Rhinolophus ferrumequinum: one gene and its partners. Each later gene encodes a partner of the first gene's protein in a complex. Links are inferred from orthologs where the notes say so. Each region holds a gene or a part of one and is shown on either strand. Other genes may lie near its edges.

Region 1 (7,602 bases):
TCCTCCCTTAGTAAAGTTCTGAGGGATTGATTCAATCACTTTTCTGAAAGGAAAGAAAAGAGATGATCCATATACTCAGACTAAAGTCAAAGACTGTTAGAGCAAAAAGGGTCCAGCCCACCCACTTCACAGATGGGGAGACTGAGCCTGAAGATGGCAATGTCCTGCACTGGTCATGGTGAGTCAGTGGCTGAGCCAGCGGGGCAGGAACACAAGCCTGGGGGTTCCCTTCTGCCTGGCTCAGCTCTTGGCTTCTTCCCAAGAGCTCCAAGGTGAGGAGAGGGGAGGAACAGACTGCCCTCCATCAGGCATTTGTGTGCCTCTTCCTATTCCATGCAGTACAGCGACTGGCCTACTCAGAGGCACAGGGATACCCCTGCGGTAGGGCATCCATGTTAACTGGAAACCTACCCTGGCCACCTTGCCAGTCTTGCCTGGCTCCTTGACCTTTCCTCCCCCACAGCCTCTTGGCCAGCTGCGGCCACTAGGCATGGCCTCCCTGTCCTCAGCTCCTGGACCATCCTGCTTAAAGAAGGAACAGCAAAATGAACACAAACACAATGACTGCCACTAACTATGGAGTGCTACTATGTTTCCCCGAAAATAAGACCGAGTCTTATATTAATTTTTGCTCCAAAAGACGTATTAGGGCTTATGTTCAGGGGATGTCTTCCTGAAAAATCACGCTAGGGCTTATTTTCCGGTTAGGTCTTATTTTCGGGGAAACGCGGTAGCTCTGTCAAGATTGTGCTGAACGCATAGATCCCTTTGCCTTATTTAATCTTCTAAGGCATATTTACTCCTTAGAACACCCTAAGGAAATTGAGGCTTAGCGGGTGGGCTGCCCCAAATCAGATAGTCAGAGGCTCAAAACTACTATTGCAAGTTCCTTTTCCTATTGGTGCCAGCCAAGTTCTGAGCACTGGGCCCTCAGCTGGTCGAGCACCCAGGTTGAGTCTTTCGGCACAGTAAATAATACCAGCCACACTTCCTGAGCATTTACTGTGTTGGGGGCACTGTCCTGTGCATTACATGTTACCCCATATGCAAGCCCATGTCCCATTTCACCTCTGGATACTCAAAGGCTCCCCGGGCACTAACCTCTGAAAGTTAAGCCCGGACACAAAGCTGGCCAAGCTCAGAGCCTAAAACTTGCTTCATGCCCAGGGGCCCAGGACCCTGTCAGAGGCCGAGAGGAGGCTGCTGGCAGGTAGGCCTGCACTGGGCTACCCAAGTCTCCAGTCTAGTCCGGGAAGGAGCTTAAAGGCCAGGGCAGCTCTCGGCACTCCATTTCCAGGGTGCCCACCACTTCCTGAGCGCCTGACTTACATGGGGACTGACTTACATGGGGAGGGGTCTTGGGGGAATCAGCCCTTGCCAAGTTTATAGCTTCTCCGACACCCCTACCCAAGCTCTCTGGGATGCCAAATGCCACTGCTCCCTACCTTTTTTTTTTTTTTTTGAGGGGCGCAGGGCTTGACACCCAATTCCATTTTACCACCTGACCATAGAAGGAAAACAGGGTAGGGTAGGAAGAGTCACACAGCAGTGGATAGCATAAGCTCGGGACAGCTGGGTTCGAATCCTGCTCTGTTACTTCCTATTTGTATGAGCCTGGCAGGTCATAGCTCTTCTCTCAGCCTTAGTTTCCTCAGCTGAAAAGAGGAGTTCTGGCAGGAGAAAAGGAGAGAAAGCCCTCAGCATGGTGCAGGTACCGCTTCAGCCCTGAGTCTGTGGCAATTTTTGTTTTACTATTTTGAAAATCATCATAATTCCTTCTGTGGTAGTTCGGAAAGTGCTTCCCTGCCCAGTATCTCATTTGCCCTAAATCCAAACCTCACCCAGTTCCCCTTCCTGTTGGGTGGCCCAGACCCTTCACCTCTCGGAGCCTGTCGCCTCAGGTAGAATGTCAGCTATATTTGGTGACATGTGAGTCCTTCTCTGATTATTATGGGTTCTAGGAATCTCAGAAGGGATCTGAAGAGCAAGAAGTGAGGTGACAACAGCAGGATACTGCAACCCCAAAGAAGGGCTGCTGGGTTCCTGCTGCCAGCACATCCAGTCTCCAGAAGCAGCTGCCATTCTGTGTCATAAGCTTCCAGCCCCAAGTCCAGGTGGAGCTGCCAGAGCTCCTGCCTTGAGCTCAGCGACGACTCAGCCTTACAAGTAGACTGAGGTGGTCCCTTTTCTCTGTACCCCACAAGGTCACAGTAGCGTTAGGGCTAGTCTCCCTGGCTCAGGGACTAAAAAGGAAACAAAGTGAATCAAATCTGGCCCTCAAGAAGTTCTTGGTCTTGCAGGTGAGACAGGCTTGGACCCATGTGTCAACTATGCCATGTGCTCAATATTGAGATGGAGGGAAGCTTGGGGTTGCGGAAGTCCAGACAAGGGAGGAAACAGAACCAGGTCAGCCTGGGAAGAATCACAGGAAGAGTCAGCATTTAACCTGGGCTGTAATGAGTGAGAGACACCCCAGCAGGGATGTGGCATACGGGTCCAAGTCAAGGAGAACAGTTAGAAAAGGGGATTTGTCCTCAGGAGGAACCTAGTACATGAGAACCCTTCCCAGCTGGCCCACCCCAAATTCCCCCCCACCATATATATATTCAACATTACCCAGCTGACCACTGCCCTGTGGGGGCAGCTTTGGGGGAACAGAGTTCAATGTTGGGCCTACTGATCCTAGTTGAATGATTTTTGGACAAGTTACCTAATCTCTCCAAACCTCAGCTTCCAACTCTGTAAAATGGGAATAATGGTACTTACCTGGCAGGATTAATAGTAAATAGGTATTTGAACATTCTAGCAGTTTAAATGCATTACATGCCTTGCCTTTCCTCTTCTGACTCGTCTAACTTCTGGCTTCTGGGGCTGGGACAGTAGGATACCCTAGGGCTGGGGAGAGGAAGCTTACCCTTTCTGGCAGGGTTTCTTACCATCTTACAAGCACCGTGTCTCGGTGTTGGGAGGTAGCCAGGCCCCAGGTCAGCACGGCCAGGAGCAGCAGGGTCTGATGGCTCATGGCTCTGCATAGAGAGGGAAAGGAAAGGGAATAGTGTAAAAACTCAGGCTCCTTCCCACTGCCAGCCCCCACCCTCTCACCCTGTCTGTGCCTGGCCTCAGGGAACCCCAGGCCACAGTCATAGCTGGAATTAAGGTGCGTGAATGGGGAACGTTGTGAAGGGGGCAGGAAATGGGACTGTAGCCCATTGCAAGGGGACTCCAAGGCCAAGCCAAGGAGCTGGGCCATTCCCCACCCTCAACCCCACCCCCCACCCCAGCAAGAATTTTTAAGCAGTGGGTGACATGATTAGATTTGGGTTTCAAAAGACCCCACCTGGTGGAAGACAGTCTGGATGGGGTAAGCAGGAGGCAGAGGGACCCTAAGGGCTGCCCTAGGGCTGGGGTGGGATGAGGTGGGGAGCTGGGCCTCTGACTCCATTTCTACACAAGCCACAAGCAGCTCACCCCATCCTAGTTCCTCAGGCCCCAAACAGAATTCCTCAACACCCCCACCCCCACCCCTGGACTTTATTTTGCCCTTTTTCTTTTGATTTTCTGATTCTCCAGTCCCTGCCATTGTTTGAAGGCTGGGCCTGGAGCCTTGACAGGAAGCCCCGCCAGGAGGCCTGCCCTGCCCCCAGCACTGAGGTAGTGAACTTCCCCAGGAGCACGCTGCCAGGCCTTTTACTTTCACTGAAGCCACAGCAAGTGCCAATGCAGAGGACACTGAGGCCTGCTGAACCCGCCCTTCTCTCTATGAGCAGGGGGAGCACAGAGACCCTCAATAGGGTGGAATCCCAGTGTTGCTAGGGGTTCCCTCACTGAGGACATGGGCCAAGTGCTAGGAACACACAGATTCATCCATCGATTGCACTCATCCATTCATTCACACCTTTACTGAATGTTTCCTCATGTCTGGCTCTGTGCTGAGAACTGAGGATACAAATAAATGCACAGAAGTGACATAATACATACAGAGCATTAAGAAAGAGGGACACACAAAGCCCTCCTAGGGCGCTGGACTCAGAGTCACCCATACTTGACTGTTACTTATGTCTCCTCCACTTACCTGCTACGTGACCTTATGCAAATCATGTCACCTCTCTGAGCCTCAGTTTCCTTTTCTGAAGTTAATGCTGACCTGCCAAGTTTTGGTAAAGATCAATAAGATATATTCTAGGAAAGTGCCACTTACAGAGCCCTTACCGTGTTTCCCCGAAAATACGACCTAACTGGAAAATAAGCCCTAGCATGATTTTTCAGGAGGGCATCCCCTGAACATAAGCCCTAATGCGTCTTTTGGAGCAAAGCTTAATATAAGACCCGGTCTTATTTTTGGGGAGACACGGTATTATGCACCAGGTACTTTTCTTGACACTTTATATGTATTAACTCATTTAATCCTCCCAGTAATTCAATGATTTGGCTCCATGACTCCCATTCCCATATTGCAGACGGGGAAGCTGAGGCTCAGAGAGATTCAGTAACACATCCAAGGTCTCACAGCTAACAAGTCTGGCTCCTCGGTTTGTGCCCTTACCCTCTACACTATAAGGTCTCCCAGAGATGCTGAACGGTGACTCTGAGGATACTTTATAAGAGGCATTTCTAGAACTTTGAGGGCTGGGTCGTTACTGTTGGGACCCACTAGCATCCTTGCGATGAATTTTAAGTGAACGTGGCAATTGTGAGGTTCTTTCTTGTTCATACAGGCAGGGGCCACGGCGGCCTTTTAAACCCTGTTCCTTGGGTTCCCCTCAGCATGGGCCTCTGCCCCCACAGCTGCTCTCTTCTCACCTGCATCACAGGTTGGGTTTTCACAGGAAATTTTGTTCTGCTGTTTAAAAAGCAGAACATCATCACCCATCTGAAAGCTGGTATACTCAGAATTGAGTGGAAACCCCTCAGCCGGGCCTCTGAGGCCCTTGGGGAGTGTGCCGCATCCAGCCAGCTCTCCTTTCCAGCTTCATTTCTCACTGTCCCCTCTCCCACTCTGGGTTCTGAAAGCCTCCTATTTCCTTTACTTCTCAGAGCCCCTTTTCTCTTGTGCTGAATACCTCCTTATCCTTGGGGTCTCAGCTTAGATGTCACCTCCTCCCAGAAGCCTTCCTGGTTCCCTAAATCTGGGCTATGTGTTGGTCCCTCCTCCAGGTTCCCATAGCCCTTGAGCTTCCAGGGAGCACAGCACCGAGCACTCTATGGTTTAACCACCCCCCACCCCCGCCGCCCACTCCTATGTGAAGTGTCCCTAGGGCAGAGGGGCTCACTGTCCTCTGGGACCCATCTCAAACCACTGGGCAGGTGGGGAGGAAGCACTGAGAATTGACATGAAGTGTCTTGGTGACACTTGCGAGAGCAGTTGTTCAACTTGACTCTCCCTGCCACACTTATTCCTTCCCCACCCCACCCCCTACCCCCATTGGCCAGCCAGCGGGTTCTGTCTGCTCTCCCTGAGAAATAGGCCCCATGCTCTGCCTACCTCCCTCCTCCATCATCGCCACAGGCTGAGGCACCACCATGACCCTGGGCCTCTTTCAGTCTGTCTGACACGTAGCAGCGCAGAGGTGTTGTTAAATCATAGATCAGATCACGCCTCTCACAGCTTGGAGGAACCTCCAGTAGAGCCCAGGCTTTACACCTCTCCTCTCTGACTCCATCTCACCAAATTCTAGCGTTCTCGCCATTCTTTGGTCATTACTCAAACACAGCAAGTGCATTCCTGCCTCAGGACCTTTGCCCTGTTGCTCCCCTCCACCTGGAATGCTCTTCCCCAGATCCCTACAGGTTTTCTTGTTTCCTCACCTTGACCATTTCCTCATAATTAATTTTTTATTCTATGAGAACAGGGGTCTATTAAGGGGTGCTCACTAAAGAGCTATGGAGCAAATGAGCTGAGGGGTGAGTGTGAGGGGAGGACAAGCAAGGGTCCGGTTTAGCTCTGACCTGAAGGCATTGCCGCTCAAAGCGGTCCTCATGTCCCCCTCCTCTGCCTGCCAAATCCCACCCTACCCCCAAGATGGGCACCAGAGCATCCGGCAGGGATTGTCCCTGCAGCAGTGGAACTCTGCTCTGGCATCTGACAGAAGGGGACTCCTCAGCTGTGTGCATCCATCAGCAGTGCCCAAGACACAGTGTGTAGAATTTGAGGGTGACTTTTTCTCAAGTGGGAGGACTGGGGTCACTCAGAAGCAGGCTCCCATCCAGACTCGACTGCTCCCCAGCCTGTTCCCTGGGGCAAGTCCCTTAACTCTTCAGTGCCTACTCACCATCCCTCGGGTAGGGCAAGTAGCCTGGTTTCCGTTCTGCCATTTGACTACCCCCACCATTGTGACGATCAAGCTGAGAATGGCTATGAAGGTGCCCTGGACACATGTTGTCTTTCTAGCTGGTACCATGACCTGCAAGGCTGAGCAGCCCAGGTCAGGTGTGCTGAGGGCGGAGGCCCCAGGCCGGGTGGACAAGTGGTGACAGGAGACATCCTAGGGACTCTGACTGGAGGGAGAAAGGCTAAAGAATAGCTGTGTGTGTGTGTGTGTGTGTCGTGTGTGAGAGAGAGAGAGAGAGAGAGAGAGAGAGAGAGAGAGAGAGAGAGAGGAGAGAGAGAGAGAGAGAAATGGGGTGGGGCAATGCCTACTATCATGATAAGCCTATCCTTACTATTAAGGATATTAGACACTCTTTAAGCACTTGACCTATATTATCTCACTTAATTCTCACAACCCAATGAAGTAATTACTATGATTTCCATTTTACAGATGAGAAAACTGAGGCTCAGAAGGATGAAATGACTTACCCATTGCTACCCAGCTCATAAGTGCTTGGGGATTTCGCTCAGGTCTACATGACCCAAATGCTGTGTTCTCTCCAGCAGGTGTGAGTTGCCTGTCCCTATAACACTGCCCTCAATTTGCCTGTGAGGAAAGAGGCTCAGAGAGGCGACTTCCCCAAAGTCACACAGGCGATAAACAGCAGAGTCAGGATCAGAGTCCCGTCTGTCTGCCTCCAAAGCAAATGTTTCCACTACCCCAGGCCAAGCTCTCCCTCTCTGACCCCCTCCAATGACAGCCACCCTAACATCCACAAGCAGACAGGCTCATGATGCTGGGCTGGGGGTGTTCTCCCCCTCCTCTCAGCAGGGATCATTGGCAGAGGGGTCCTGGGAGAGCTGCGGATCCCCGTTCGGAGCAGTGAATCACTAGGGCAGACCTGTGCATCCCACGGGGGGGAATTAGACCTTAACCCAAAGGAATGTGGCTGTGATGGCAGAATTTCAGGCAGCCCAGGGTGGGGGTGGGGGTCCCTCACATCTTACCACCCATAAAGAAGGCTGGCTTTGGAGCCCTTTTGAGGGAGAGGGGGGTGCACCCCCACACTCTATATAGGCAGGTTATCTGGTACTGTGGATGGGAAGCCCACGCAGGCCTAAGTCAGAGGATGGCAGGAGACCTTGATTCAAATCCTGATCTGCCACTGACTAGCTATGTGTTCCCGCCAAGTGCTGGCCTTTCGGCTGTTGTCTTCCCATCTGTCAAATGGGAAACGCCGGCCACGCCCTTCGCGGGAAAGATTCGCCTGCTACAGGAGCCTGAGAGAGCTCTG
Region 2 (7,001 bases), on another chromosome or scaffold:
CTTCGCAAACCTCTCCTGCCTGCCTCAGCTTTCCACCCTCCTCAGCTGTGGCCTCTAATACTCCTGCCTTCATGGGTGCCTAGGGGTTGGGGGCTTAGCCATCTAGCTGTCGGTGTCTCTGGGAACTGTGGGCCCCCGGCAGACCCCATGTCAGCCCCCTCTGGAGGACCCTGGGCAGGGCACACTAGCTCTTGTCCTCCAGCCTCCGCCCCACACAGTAGCCACATCCTAAGGCAGGGCGCTCCATGCACCACAGGAAACTGGAGCGGGAAACCCTCGCCAGTAACCACAGGCTCCTGGGCCTGGCAAGGACCAGCTCCCACTGGGGCCTTTTGCACCTTCAGCCAGAGCTCGTCCACCCATCAGCCATCCTCTCCTCTTCCTTCTCTCTAGCCAGGTTCCTTTCAACCCTGAAGTCCCTCCCCTACCTCCACCTCCCCACCCCACCCCCATGGCTGACCACTCTCACCCGGCCTGCTCCATCCCACCTTCCAGCTCCCACTCTAGGCACCTCCCAGGTGAGCCAGGGCTGAGGTAGTCAGGGTGGTGAGGCCACCTGCTGGTAGGAAAAGCAAACAGAAATCTCTCCAGAGTCCCTGGCCCACGAGTGGCTCACATTCTTCCTTCCTGGGCTGTCAGTTTCTCAACATCTGCCAAATCTCTGTCTCTCATGTTGAGGTTTTTTAAATCCCTCTTCAGTAAACACACATGACTTCCACACGTGTACAAACACAGAGACGTCTCACTCAGAAGCCTCCCAGCTCCTCGGCACAGACAGGAGCCTCCTGGGAGGGCACACTCCCAGACACACGTTCCCTCTGCACCCACAGCCACACCTCCCATCCACTCTTCCCGTGACACGCAGACACGAAAGGGCCGCCAGCAATCGTCTACATATCCAGAGCCACAACCCTGCCTTCCTGTGTCCACAGGCCTGGAAGACACCCATTTTGAGCACAAAAATCTGTCTTCTGTTATAAAAGCCAGACTACACATCGCCCTAAAGCACATGTACATGTGAACAGAGGTGTGTACCCTTCCCCCACGCCCACAGCTCACGTGGGTCACGTGTGTGGTGGAGACTGAAGGACCCAGACAGTAAGAAGCTGTCTCTTGCCTGGGCTTCAAAAGCTTGACAGACATTAATGTGGGGTAGGTACTCTTCTTCCCAAGAACTGGAGAAACGGAACCAGAGACGTGTCACAGTGACTTGTGAAAAGTAGGGAGAAGCCAGAGGTCTCCAGATTCATGGAACTGTAGGGCTTGAGAGAGAGCCAGCCCTGCCCCTTTATGGCACCTTTGGCTTACAGTTACCCATCTGCTCGCATGGGTGAGAGCACATATGTTAATGGGACAGCACCGTGCAACTCCAAATTAAAATCAGTCAAGGATGTGATTCGAGTTCGGCAAGCAGCTCAACCACAGGGCTCCTGGCCTCCCAGAAGCGCCAGGCTCTTACCAGAATGGCTCTGTCTCCCTCCCCACCCACCTACCCAGCCCCAATTGCGCATCGTACCTCCTGAGCCATCGAGCCACCGATAGGGCCCCCTCCGTGGAACTCCCTACTCTAGTTCAGACCCTTCAGAGCAGACACCCAGCGAGAATTGGACTTACTGTGCTCCGCTAGCCCCTGGATCATGTCGAATTTATGGATTTCTTTGGCATAGTACTCCCACTCGGTGTTTTCCTGAGTGCAGCCGTCCTCCCTCTCCTCCAGCAGCTCCCGGGTGCTGTTGTAAAGGGCCAAGATCTGGTAGGGGACGTGGGTCATCACCGATGGCTCGGGAGGACTGGTGAGCCTGAGTTTGCTCAAGATCTGTCCCCTAATGGCTTCCACCCTCTTCTTCTTGATGTGGCTGAAGTCCAAGGTGGTGCAAGTGGACAGAGAGAGGCTGACCGTGGCAAAGTTCAGCAGGGCCAGGACCACCAGAGCCCTTTGCAAGTGCATCTTCATATGCGAGCCGGGGAGAGAGGCCAGGGAGGCTGTGAGGCCTGGCAAGGAGGAGACCCCAGCAGACGTGCAGAAGGAGGGAGGAAAACCAGGCGGCCTCCCTAGATCCCGAAGACTGAGGCTTGGCAAGAAGGTGCATGAACTCACTGCACTGCGAGAGCTTCAGGACTTCCAGGAAGCGCTGGCAACCCTGAGCACGAAGAAGCCGACTGTGTGCCTTGTAGCTCTGGGTTTCTTCTCCATGTGTCTAAACAGGTTCTGCTGGGCTCTGACTCCCAGCAGGCCAGGTGGAGGGCAAGCAGAGGGCTGGGAGGGGTGGCAAGGCAGCTGGGAGTGGGAAGGGAGCTGGAGTTTTTCCTTAGGTAAAAATAAATAGAGCGGATATCTGATATTGCCAAAGGCCTCTTGGCGATGGGGAGAAAGTGGGTATTTTAAAGAAGGAGCAGAAGGACCATGGCTTGGGTCCCAAAATCAAAATCCTTGCCTTGCCCTGAGGGAGAATAAGAAAAGAGAATGAAAAAGAAAAGGGGAAAAAATTGTTAAAAAAAAAAAAAAAAAGTCAGATCACCAGTGAGTAGGTGGGGAGAGGCAGGGCTGGGCTGCTGATGGCCCAGCTAAAGGTGGGGGCAGCACAGGACACACTTGTCGCTCGGGCACACCATTCATGCTTTCTCTTTTGTTTACACTTCCTCGGGGGCTTTCTAAATGACTTTGTTCCCGTTGCCTCTTGTCTTCATTGGCTGGGATGTGGGGTTATGTGCAATTGGAAGGCAGGGAGGACAGGCCCCTGGAGAACAGCCCCAATAATCCACTTGGACGCCCAGGGTCACCAGCACCTCGGCTTGTCTTCTCCCTCGGCCATTGCTTCTGTCCCCTGCTTCTCTTTAAAAAATAAAAAGGAAAAGAAAAATAAAATAGAAGCCAGCTCACTGCACGCCTGCTCCGGAAAGCTGTTATTCCTTCTTTCTCATGCTTCTTCCCCTATCTCTCGCCTCCCTTGCTCATTGCCTCGGACTTGGCTTTCTGCTTCCCTCCCTTTCTCTCCCTCCTGCGTTTCCCTCTCCCTCTCCCTCTCTCTCCCTCTCGCTCTTCTCCCTCTCTCACACACACACACATGCACACACACTGCTTTCTCTATTTCTCTCTGCTGAAATTTTATACCTCCCTCCGATGACGTCTCTGGCCCGGGTGGGGGAGGGAGGGACCAGCGCACGCAGCCTCTTTTGCTGCACAATTTTAATGTTTTAAACAGGCACAGGAAAAGCCGAGTCCATTTGAAAAATACTTTGCGAGTCCTCTAGTTCGACGTGGTAACTGAACTTTTTTTCCCCTCTTGGAGTCACTCCTGCTACACGTTGACTGTTTTTCTGGAAAGTTACTCCGATGAATCCCCTCCCTGCTTCTCCCCCAACTCCTTCGCCCTCTCCAGCTGTCAGTCTGTCCCTCTCCTCCGCGAGTCTCACTCCTTCCCGGGCCAGGCCCGATACTGTGCAGGGTCGGGCGTGCGCGGGGCCTGGGCAGGGGCGGCCGTGCCACCCTCGGTTGGGGCGATGCCCGGACTAGTTGCGGGCTTGGAGTTGGGTTCAGCTCCGCGGCGATCCTGGCCACGATTCTTCATTGACAAGATTGGAGTCGGGCAGCCTGCTGAAGCTTGGAGATGCTCCAGGGGCACTGAAAATGGTGGCGTTTTTCTGCAGATCGAGGGTGCCCTCTGGCGAGGCGAGGCCGTCAGTGACCGAGGCTCCGCGAGTCGGAGCCGGGAAGGCGAGGAGGGCTGGGGGCTGGGGGCTGGGGCTGGGGAGAAGGGGCTGCAAGAAAGGCGGAGGAAAACAAGCCTGAAGGCCTGGGGGAGTAGCCTCCCTCTCGGCCCGACGTGCGTACAAGTGCAACTCTCCCTCCCCCGAGCCCTGCTCTGCAGCGGCTCTTTTGCAGAAATGTCCTCCAGATGTTCGCAGCCTCCCTCCCCGCCGGGGGTTCCGCAGGGAACTGAGCCAGTGAGCGCAAAGTCAGCAGTTGGCAGGAGCCCATTTCCCAGATGGGTGAGGGGAAGTTTTCTCTTTTCTTTCGTTCCTCGTCTCAGCCTAAGCTTCTAGGTATTTTCCCAGAAGCTCGGGGAGGGCAAGACACGTCGCTTCCACCGGTCCCCCCCCCCCCCACCCCCAGACTTGCTCCTGAATGGATCACTTTCCTGGGAATCAGTGCTGCTCCCCTCCACTCCACCCCAAGCCACCTCATCCGGCCTTCCTGGACCCTTCCTGCCAGGTCTGGTTCCTGCTCCTGGCTCCTAGGCCATTAACTGAAGGAATGTTCACTGCGTCCCCAGACCACGGTTGATCAGTTTACACTGGAGGCAACTGAGGCACAGAGCAGCTTAAAAGTCCACTGCTTGGAGTGGTGGAGGTGATATTTTACATAAGCTCTCTAGTTTGGGTAGGCATTATTGTCGTTTGCATAACAAATGAGAAAACCCAGGTGTAGAAAACTTAAAAGTAATCTACCTAAGGTCTTATAACCAGTGTCAACACTGAGATTTGGACTGAGGAGTCTATTGCAAGAGTCTATGAGTTTAACTATTATGCTTTACTGCCTCTGGAATTCAGCCATCCTTTGACAAATATTTTTGGTGTTTACTATATACCAGGCACTGTTTTAGGCTCTCTGGATATGCAGGTGAATAAAACAAACAAAACCCTTGGCCTAATGGAGCTTACACTCTAGAAGTGGAGGTGGGGCAGTGGGGAAGGCAATCAACTAAATAAATATGTAAATGATGTAGTATGATAAAGGGTAAGTGCCATGGTAGAAAACAAAACAGGGAAGAAGGATAAGAAGTGTGTGTATGGTGGGGGTGAGGGGTGGAGGGGGTGGGCGGTGGTGGTGGTTGCAATTTAAAATAGATGTTGCAGTTTTAAAGCAGCAAAGGGCTTACTGAGGCTTTTAAGCAAACTTGCAAAATGGGAGGGAAAATTATCGAAGGTACTTTCTTCTGGACTCCACCTCTACTAAATCAGTCTCCCGGGATGGGGCCCTGGCATATGTACTTTTAACAAACTTCACAGGTGAATCTGGCGTCCAGCAAGTTTTGGAAGCCACTACTCTGGGGCTTCTTTCTGTCCAGAGTGAGCGTTGATCACCTCTTGCTTTCAGGAAGTTGGGGAAGAAGTAGGAGTGAAGGTTTGGAAAGTGGTTATAAGTTGGTGGTGGTATGGCTATGAGCTCACAAGAAATGAAAAAAATCCAAAGACTGATTCCTTCTTCCTCTTCTGGTGCCAAGAAAGAAGGGAACAAGGAACTCATCAGAGCCTATATTTTATCCATCTCGGATTTTTAGCAATGAATGTTTCTTCAGATTAAAATCGAAGAGTATCCTCAGTGAGAATCAGAGTTAGTGAATAAACGATCTTTGGGGTAATCTCTAAGAATAATTACAAGAGAGGAAACTGAGGTCCAGAGAGGCTCTGCCTGGCTCCCCAGGTAGTTGTCAGTAGAGCTAGGATGAGACCTCAACTCTTCTGACATCCAAGCAATGCTGTGACTGTCAACGGCATTGTGCTGTGGGGTGCTAAAATGCACAGTCCTCTCCAGTCAATATAGGTGGATGAATGGTTGAACTGAGCAATTTACTGAGTATTCAAGAAATGCTTGCAATCCAGTTTTAGGATTGCTACTTCCACTTCCACTTCCATGCCCTCGCTTTGAAGCGGTGGCCATCTAGGCCTTCCTGCCAGTGTAATACTGGAGACATTGCTCACTTTCAGTGCCATGAGCCCGTCGTCTGGGAGTCCCCGCTGACCAGTACCAGAGACCCAGACAATGGTGTCGACTTGGGGATCTTATATGTAGAGTCAATGAAGACTCAACTCACTCGCCCCATTAGGCTGGTGAAGGGGTTCAAAACAGGCCTCCCCAAGATGTGTCACTTGGGCATGTGAATTATTTTGAGCTGAAAACAGTCAAGACCCTGTGGTCTCATGACAAACTTTTATCTCTCCCTTAAAGAATTTACATTAGAGGCCTTGCCCATAATAAGAGTTATCACCAGAAATAACTTTTTATATCTATGTCTACTATGTCTATCTATAGGCCAGGGCAAACCTCTAATTACTGAACACCTGCTCTTCTTATTGTCCTGCAAATGACATTTGTTCCCTCTAAAGCCTCAATGTGCCTTACTTTATCCTTAGCTCAAAATGTCACATGTACCTCCTTTTCCCTCTTCATCTCTGAACTTCTCATGTAGGTGGCGGGTCTCTGACTTGCCCATGTATATGGGGTTCCCATACTTAAGTATGTAATTAAATTTGGTTATTTTCTCTTGTTAATCTGTCTCATGTTGATTTGATTATTAGACCAGCTGAAAGAAGCTAGAAGAGTAGAGGAAAGCTTCTCCTTCCCCCACACTGGGAATTTGCAGGCCATCTTACTCTGCTGGCCTAGGAGAAAGGCTGGCACCCAGGAATATGTGCTGGAGAAAAATACTCCAATAATACGGTGTCAGACAGCCATCTGGGTCTGCTGCTTAACACTCAGGTGATTTTCCTCAAGCCACCTCTTTTCATCTGTGTCCTCAGTTGTTCAATAGATATATTACTGCTGCTCATTTTATGGAGTTGTTGGAGGAATTACTTGACTTTTGATAGTTATTACTATTCAGGTACTTCATGTGTTAGTTCAGCCTCTCTAAATTTTTTGAAGGCAGAGATTATGTATATTGCATTTTCCGTTATAAACCATTTATTAACACCTGACCCCCTGTAGCCTGTTTTCTCATCTGTCCAATGGAGATAATAGAACTTATGTTGCTTCCCACACAAGATTGTTATGCCTTTCACACGAGCTAATAACTGTGAAGGTCCTAGGTGCGTTGCAAAGAGCTATACAAATGGGAGGGATCAGAATAATTGCTACTATTAATAGTGGTGCTGTGCACTTAATAACTTAACGTATTTTTAAAAAGACTAACAGTTTTTCACCGCCCCAGAGGAGCAGCCTTAGCGGGATTTAATATCTGGAGGTTTCTTCCGGAAGTCAAGCGAGGCAGATTTAGGAA
Region 3 (7,772 bases), on another chromosome or scaffold:
TATTATTATTATACCCACTTAACAGATAGGGAGACAGGCAGGAAAACGTAACTTGCCCAAGGGTGCACAGGCAGGAAGAAGTAGTCCCAGGATTTGAACACAGACATTTGGCTCCAGAGTCCCCATTTTGTAACCCCTGCCCCCCAGTGCCAGGGAGAAACGTGGTCCTACAGCCACAAGAGCATCCCCTTCCTGATGGCTGCCTCCGACCTCTCCCTGTCCCGTTGGTGTTCTGGCTCTCATTGCAGGGGCAGCATGGAAGCTCCTGTCAGGCATACGGGAGGGCCAAACGCAGGTGGACACCCCCCAAATAGGGGACATGGCCTACTGGTCCCACCCCATCGACCTGCACTTCGCCACCAAAGGTCTCCAAGGTGGGTTCCTGGCCTGGGCTCTGGACCTGACTGAAGGGAGGGGGGTTAGCAGCACGCCATGCTGCTGGGACTGGGAACACCAAGTCCTGTCCCTGCTCCCATGCCCTGTGGGTCCCTTTCCCGGCCAGGTCTGGTCCTGGAGAGGCTGATCTGCTACTTCCCTGGGCTGGCTCCAGAGTGTGTCAGAGGCCAGGGGTGGAGAGAGAAAGGGGAAGGTGGAGACCAGGGGGAGAGAGGAGGTGGCTTTGAAAGAGACAAACGAAGAGAGTTTTCATTCAGGAGGAAGCTGGGAGGGCTTATAAGAGAGAGGCAGGGCTGGTGGCTGTTCTCAGGCAGAGCTCCTCAGCTGTTCAGAGTGGAAATGAGTATGCGGGGGAGGAATGGTATCAGAAAATCTTTTCTGATGGAAAATTTGGGTCATTAGAGAGCAGTGGATTCCAGGAAATAGCCTAGGTAAATATGCCGTATATTTCAGCAATATAAACAATATTTACTGAGTGCCTGTCCTGTGGTGGGTGATGTCAGGGAGATGTCAGTGATTGAGACAGCCCCCAGCCCTGTCCTCACAGGGTTCACCATCCCATGGGGGAGACAGAGCTGTCCCCAGAAAGTGGCAGCCCAGAGTGGACAGGGCTGGGATGGGCGATTATAGAGAGCTGTGGGAGCCAAGAGGAGGCTCCTGACTGCCAGGGAGTTCAGGGAAAGCTTCCTGGAGGAGGGGATGTTTGAGCTTTGCTGTGAAGGTCCAGTAGGCTAATAAGGCAGAGGGAAGGAAGAGGTTTCTAGGCAGAGAGCTGTGTGCAGAAGGCACAAAGGGTAAAGTGAGCCAGGGCATTTGGAGGACGGAGATAAAGCAGGAGGACTGCAGGGGGTCAGGTGGCAGGGCCTTGAATGTCAGGCTGCAGAGCTGAGGCCATCTCCTGAAGACACAGCAGGCGACTAAGAAGTCAGATTTTGCTTTTAAAGGGTGATGGATTAGAGGGCGAGGCAGGCGACTGTCCTTTCACTCTTGAGACCCCCAGACCCCCTGTGTGGGTATATCATCCTGGCCTCCTCTTTTCCTGAACGCCCCCCTCCCCCCGCCCCATTCTGTCCATCAGGAAATCCCACTGGCTCTACCTTTGGAATGCATACTAAACCTCACCCTCTCCCCTGGCACCTGGTCTGTCCACCCTAACCTCTCACCTGGGCCATTACAGTAGCCTCTTCACTGGTGTTCCCACCCTAAACTCAGGGAAAAACCTAAGTCACGTTCCTCCTGTGCTAAGAACCCTCTACGTCCCATATCTCTCAGGATAAAAGCCAAAGCCTTACCATGGATCCCAAGGCCCGGCATGATCTAGTGCTGTCACCTCCTCCCTGCTCCCTCTCTCAATGGGCTCCTGCCACACTGGCTTCCCCAGGCAGCTCCCATCTCAGGCCTTTTGTACCAGCTGTTCCCCCTGCTGGGAGCACTCTTCCCTAGATGTCCACATGGCCCACTCCTTCTCTCCTTTAAGCATTTGCTCAAATGTTACCTCAGTGAAGCTTTTCTTGATCCCCACCTTTCTAAAACTGCATCCCCACCCCCACCCTACCCACCTTTATTTTTCTCCAGAGCAGTTATCACCATCTGACATACCCTATAATTTGCTTATTTACTATGTTCGTTGTCTAGGATGTCAGCTACATAAGGGCAAGAATTTTTGTCTGTTCTGTTCACCAATGTGTCCCCAGCTTCTGGAACAGGGCCTAGCACAGAGGGGCTTAGAAAGGAGGGTGAAATGGGACTGGATCTCCAAGGGCTTTGTCTACCAAGCTGAGGAGCTGAACTGTAGTCTGAGGACAGTGGGAAACTTATGGAGGGGGAGATAGATGCTTCCAGATGCCAGGTGGAAGGTGGATTGGAGGGCGCAAGAAAGAAGCCTCTGAGCCCAGAGAGGACAGGGTGGGCCAGGGTGTGGGAAGAAGGGAGGTGTCCAGGACAAGGCCCACGGTACTTACTCATCTGGCGACTGGGCCACACTGAGATGGAAACCAGAGAGGGAAGTCAGCAGAGGCTAGATCCAAAGAGCCTTGAATGTTGAGGTGGACTTTATACCAAGGGCACTGGGGAGCCATGGAAGGGTTTTAAGCAGTGGAGGAACATGGATTCAGAAACATCCCTTTGGCTGCCATGTTGAGGTGGGAGTCCAAAGAAGAGGCTGGGGAAGAAACCCAGGGGGAACGGACTACCTGAGGTCTCCAGTGGAGATCAAGGAAGTGGGGATCCACAAGCTGGAGACCCGGCTGTCCCATCCCTTCTTCCCTCCCTCCTTTCCTGCAGGCTGGCCCCGGCTCCATCTCCAGGTTTGGTCCCAGGACAGCTTTGGCCGCTGCCAGCTTGCAGGCTATGGCTTTTGCCATGTACCCAGCAGTCCCGGCACCCACAAGCTGGACTGCCCCACGTGGCGGCCCTTGGGCAGCTGGCGGGAGCAGCTGGCACGGGCCTTCGTGGGTGGTGGCCCTCAGCTGCTGCATGGGGACACCATCTACAGTGGGGCTGACCGCTATCGCCTGCACACAGCCGCCGGTGGCACCGTGCACCTTGAGCTGGGTCTACTCCTGCGCCACTTTGACCGCTATGGCGTTGAATGCTGAGGGACGCTGCCTCACGGGCCCCCATCCCCACTCCTGGACACCCAGTAAGGGCAGGATGGCACAATAGTCAGAAGTCTGGGCTCTGGAAACTGTCAGACCTGCCCGGAGCCAAGGCACACTGCGACTTCTGTCTTGGCTAGCACCTCTGAAGCCCAGTAGCTGTCCCTCTGGGGCCTAGTTTCCCTATCTGTGAAATGGAGACAGCAATGTGTGGGGTCCCAGGGGTTTGGAAGAGAAGAGGCTGCCTTGCACATGGAAATGTTCAATAAAGGAAAGCAGTTCTGACAGGTGTGGGTGTCTTCCTGACCTGTCAGATGGCCTGTGCCCTGTCCTCCCACTGACACCCTCCTTCCTCAGGCCCCCACCTTTTGACAGACCTGCATCCCCCATCCTTCTCAAACTCTGATCTCCCCATTCTGGGTGCCCCTCTTATGACCCCTCTCCTTGGGGCTCCCCTTCCTCTGTGCCCTTCTCCCCACTAGGTTCCCCCATCTGGCTGACCTTCTCTCCAGCTTCCAACTCTATTCTGCGTCCCCTCCTCTGATTCCCTGTCAACTGTGTCCCCATCCACTGATTGAGCCCTCCTCCCCAGGTCTTCATTCTCTCGGTGACCAGCCGCCTCCCCCGCCCCGTCCCCACACACACACACACACAGTCTTCAAAGCCACACGCATCCGGGTCGCCCGCTTTGGTAGCGCTCGGCCGCCAGGAGGCAGCACCCTGTTCGTGGGGCGGGGCCGGGGTGCCCGCCCCCTCCCCCGGGGCTTAAGGGACCCCCCTCAGAGCCCGCCCACGCGAGCTGAGAACGGTGGCCCGGCCCCCGCATGCCCTCACCCCTGGGGGCCACCCCCGCCCCGCGCGCTTCCTGGGTGGGGCCGGGGCGGCTTCAAAACCCCCCGCCGCCCCAGCCGGTCCCCGCCACCGCCGCCGCCCTTCGCGCCCCGGGCCGTCCCACCCCCCTCCTCCCGCCGCAGATCCGCCAGACAGCTAGGCCCCCGGCCGGGGGCAGGGGGGACGCCCCCTCCGGGGCACCCCCCCGGCTCGGAGCCATCCGCCGGGTCGGCCTCAGCCGGGAGCGGAGGAAGGAGCCGCCGAGGAGCAGCCCGAGGCCCCAGAGTCTGAGACGAGCCGCTGCCGCCCCCGCCGCCGCCACTGCGGGGAGGAGGGGGAGGAGGAGCGGGAGGAGGGACGAGCTGGTAGGGAGAAGAGGGAAAAAAGTTTTGAGACTTTTCCGCTGCCGTTGGGAGCCGGAGGCGCGGGGACCGCTTGGCGAGGCGCTGCCGGGCGAGGAGGCAGCACTTGGGAACCGCAGACTGCTCCCCCACCGCCTCGGAAGCTTGCTTCCTCCGTGCCTACACGTCGTCCCTCAGGCGCCCCCATTCCGGACCAGCCCTCAGGAACCACAAACCCGACTCCCGCGAAGACTTGACCCCAAGACCTCGGGCGCACGCCCCTCTCCTGAGCTCCCGCGCATCCAAGGACACTTCTCCGGAGTCTGGGAGACGGGATCTCTCTCAGACCTGCCTCAGCTTCCCTATTCGAGACCACCCACCTCTGGTACCAGATCGCGCCCATCTCGGGTTTTTCCGTGGGATACCGAGAAGCCACCCGCTAGAGCTTCCCTTCCGTCCTCCGCGAGGGCCTCAACTTCCCCCTCCCCGCAGGCCCTCCTACCTTTCCACGGGAGACCTCCCCCCCAGCCCCTGTAGGGGTGGGGCCTCCCTCTTCGCATCCCAGCCCCGCTTGCGCTCTCGGCAGTGCCGGGGGCGCCGCCTCCCCCATGCCGCCCTCCGGGCTGCGGCTGCTGCCGCTGTTGCTGCCGCTGCTGTGGCTACTAGTACTAACCCCGGGCCGGCCGGCCGCCGGACTATCCACCTGCAAGACCATCGACATGGAGCTGGTGAAGAAGAAGCGCATCGAGGCCATCCGCGGCCAGATCCTGTCCAAGCTGCGGCTCGCCAGCCCCCCGAGCCAGGGGGATGTGCCGCCCGGCCCGCTGCCCGAGGCCGTGCTGGCCCTTTACAACAGTACCCGCGACCGGGTGGCCGGAGAGAGCGCCGAGCCGGAGCCGGAGCCGGAGGCGGACTACTATGCCAAGGAGGTCACCCGCGTGCTAACGGTGGAAAACAGCCACAGTGAGCTCGGAGGGGCAGGGGATCCTGGAGGGGAGCCCCCAGCGGGCGCCGGCGTGCTGGGGTCGGGGAGGAAATAACTAGCGGAGGAAACTGGAGAGAGAGGACTCCTGGGGGCGCTGGGAACGTGGGACGGAGTCTCAAAGAGCTCCCTCCACCCCCAGGTGTCTGGTCTTGAAGAGGAGATAGTGAACCAAGTGGACAGCTTCTAGAGAGCGACCGGAACATGCAGGATCGAGGCGCGGGAGTCCCCTAGAGGGAGAGAAGCAATGGGGGAGGGGTAGAAAAGACTTTCGGCTACTGGGTGCACTAGAGTGTGGGGGTCGTGGGATAGGGGCTGAAGACAGGGTGCCCGCTTTGGGAGAAGCGAAGACCCCATTTCTGAGCAAGGAGAAGCAGTAGGGAAAGCTGACGCAGAGCTCAGGGATCGTGAGGCGAGAAGATTAAAGAAGGACAGAAAAGCTAGGTAAAGCGAAGCCCGGAGGTGCCAGGAAAAGTGGACCAGTTTACAGCAGGCGCCAGGAATACGCGGGATTGGGGGGTGGAGCAGAGAGACGGTTGGGGGTGAGAAATGCGGGGAAGAAGTGGGCGCGAGTTCGTAGGAAGAGGGAAGCTAGCGGGAAAGAAGCGGAGACCTCTGGGGTACGGGGGATGCCCGGGGAGGTGCCCTGAGTACTTCACAGGTGGACGTGCGAGGAGGAAGCCCAGCTGAGGAAGCGAGCCCCTAGGAAACCTAGAATACTGGGTCGTGGGAAGGGGTTTACAGAGAGGAGAGACGCGTGGGAAAGGTGGACCGGGAGAGGGGCGGAGGAGAGATAAACGGTGGCCTACTGGGAGCGGCGAACCCTCCACACCGCGGATGGAAGGCAGTGGGCTGAGCGAGGAGTCCAGCCGCAGGGGGAGAGGTGGTGGGTGCGACTCTGCAAGATTGGGGTGAGGAAGCCCCACGTGGGTGCCACGCGCGGGGGAGTGGGGAGGAGCTGCGCGTCCGGAAGTGGGGAGGAAGAGAACCCCGCAGCTCTAAAGGCTGAGAATCTGGACCCCAAAGTGCCAGTTCCTCTCCGGGAGGTTGGGGAAACCCCAGCCTCCGGCGGCCTCTCCCGCCCTCCCTTCCCTTTCCTTCCCGTGCCCTGGGGGGCGGGGATCGCGCGAGGGGCCTGGGGCGAGACGGGGCAGGTCCGGTCCCCGCCCTCGCAGCGCCAGCGCCTCCGGCCCTCTTCACCCCAGCTCCGGGCGGGGCTACCGCTGGGCCAGCCCCGTCGGCGCCCACTCGGGTACCCCGGCGTCCCAAGTGGCCCAGAGGCTCGGGGTCTCCCTCCTTTAACTTTCCCTGTTGGGCAGTGGACTTGTGGGTCTCCAGCCCTTTTGTGCGCCCAACTGTGGCTCCAGTCAAATGACGCCCATCTCCACCCCTGTCTTCATCTCACCTTTTTTCCATGGTTGCTTCACCATCATTCTAGAGATTTCTCTACATTGTAGAGATTAACACTGATACTTTCAATCCTCTCCTCACAGACCGTCTCCATCTCCTCCCCAAACCCTCTGTCTCTCTCCCCGTGTGTCTCTCTGTCTCCTATCTCTGTTTTTCCATCTCTCCCGCATTTTCATTAGTCTCTCTGTCCGTTTGTGGGTCTCCCAGTTTCTGGTTCTGCACCTCTTCCCTCTCTTTCTCTTCCTCCTCCACACCTCCCCACCTTTCCCTGTCTCGCGTTCTCTCCCTCTCCCTGTCTGCCTTTCCCTACCCATCTTGTTACTCTTCCTCCCTATCTGTCTCCCCACCAGGCTCTATCCTTCCTCTGGGGGTTGCTGAGTAACCGCTGGGCCAAGATAGGGCTTATTGTGGGGAGGGGCTGGTCTGGCTAGAGGGGGGAAGAGTACGGAAAGGGGGCCCATAGAAGGGGTTACCTTTTACCTTTCTCATCAGATCCTGTCTCCCATTTTCGCACCCACACTACAGAGGCCTAAAATAGGTGCCCCAGTTGATCCGGGAGTTCATGGCCTGCCCTCTCAACCCCACCCCCAAACTTTTCTGAACTAGTAAACACTCTTCCTAATTTTCTAACCCCACTAAGCCATTCCTACCTAAAATGAACTTTGCCTTCTCTAACCAGCTAAGGGAGGAAATAATTAATAATAATAATAATAATAATAATAATAATAAATGTCATATTAACAGGGAGGCTGCATACCCTAGTAGTTGAGAGCGGTTGAAGTCTGGAACTAGACTTCCTGAGTTTGAATCCCTTTCTGCAGCTTCCTAGCTATGTGACCTTGGGGCAAATTTCTTAATCTCCTGTGCCTAGGTTTCCCCCTCTATAAAACAGGTATAATAAATAATATGTTCCTCCTGGGGTTGTTGTGAAGTTTAAATGCGAAGTGCTTTGAATATCGCCTGGCAAGTAGTGAGTGTGCTTTAACACGCACATTAGAGTGACCACTGTGTGCAGACTCTGTGCTACACGCTTCATCTTATTCGTGTCACTTTCTTTCACACTCTCACCCTGCAGTCAGTCGTTCCTTGTTTTACAGGTGAGAATCTGGCACAGAGAGAGGAATTCATTTGCCCAAAGTTACATAGCGCTTCAACGAGGAGAGCCTGGGTTGGAAGGCAGGGAGCTTGATGTGGAAGCCATTTCCCAAAGAATAG

What was found.
Region 2: the proteins of LRRC32 (region 1) and TGFB3 are in contact, whole or in part, in a cryo-EM structure (PDB 8VSB), measured with the Homo sapiens proteins. The link is inferred for Rhinolophus ferrumequinum from reciprocal best matches to the Homo sapiens genes LRRC32 and TGFB3. Residues at the interface, in NP_001122394.1 of Homo sapiens: Ala110, Ser135, Tyr137, Ser160, Val184, Met186, Asp187, Ile188, Asp190, Phe193, Leu202, Leu204, Arg206, Asn207, Ser208, Thr210, Cys211, Ile212, Ser213, Asp214, Phe215, Ser216, Leu217, Cys227, Asn228, Ser229, Lys254; in NP_001316868.1 of Homo sapiens: Leu24, Ser25, Thr26, Cys27, Thr28, Leu30, Pro347, Pro349, Tyr350, Leu351, Arg352, Thr357, His358, Val361, Leu364, Leu368, Ser375.
Region 3: the proteins of LRRC32 (region 1) and TGFB1 are in contact, whole or in part, in a cryo-EM structure (PDB 8VSC), measured with the Homo sapiens proteins. The link is inferred for Rhinolophus ferrumequinum from reciprocal best matches to the Homo sapiens genes LRRC32 and TGFB1. Residues at the interface, in NP_001122394.1 of Homo sapiens: Ser135, Tyr137, Glu158, Ser160, Thr162, Val184, Met186, Asp187, Ile188, Glu189, Asp190, Phe193, Leu202, Leu204, Arg206, Asn207, Ser208, Leu209, Thr210, Cys211, Ile212, Ser213, Asp214, Phe215, Ser216, Leu217, Leu223, Leu225, Cys227, Ser229; in NP_000651.3 of Homo sapiens: Leu30, Ser31, Thr32, Cys33, Lys34, Pro325, Pro327, Tyr328, Ile329, Trp330, Ser331, Leu332, Thr334, Gln335, Tyr336, Val339, Leu342, His346, Ala353, Pro354.

Annotation. Positions count from the first base shown.
Region 1 is NC_046294.1:51,148,986-51,156,587, forward strand, and holds the start of LRRC32 (transforming growth factor beta activator LRRC32), read right to left. Parts: upstream 3,023-7,602; coding exon 2,951-3,022; exon of another isoform or gene 2,940-2,950; coding exon of another isoform or gene 2,937-2,939; intron 1,337-2,936; coding exon 1,326-1,336; intron 523-1,325; coding exon 519-522; intron 1-518.
Region 2 is NC_046289.1:22,844,449-22,851,449, reverse strand, and holds the start of TGFB3 (transforming growth factor beta-3 proprotein), read right to left. Parts: upstream 3,082-7,001; 5' UTR 1,955-3,081; coding exon 1,615-1,954; intron 1-1,614. UniProt on the Homo sapiens protein: Transforming growth factor beta-3 proprotein: Precursor of the Latency-associated peptide (LAP) and Transforming growth factor beta-3 (TGF-beta-3) chains, which constitute the regulatory and active subunit of TGF-beta-3, respectively.
Region 3 is NC_046298.1:39,655,232-39,663,003, reverse strand, and holds the start of TGFB1 (transforming growth factor beta-1 proprotein), read left to right. Parts: upstream 1-4,738; 5' UTR 4,739-4,773; coding exon 4,774-5,128; intron 5,129-7,772. Other genes in the region: B9D2 (B9 domain-containing protein 2), read left to right, coding at 246-374, 2,680-2,993. UniProt on the Homo sapiens protein: Transforming growth factor beta-1 proprotein: Precursor of the Latency-associated peptide (LAP) and Transforming growth factor beta-1 (TGF-beta-1) chains, which constitute the regulatory and active subunit of TGF-beta-1, respectively.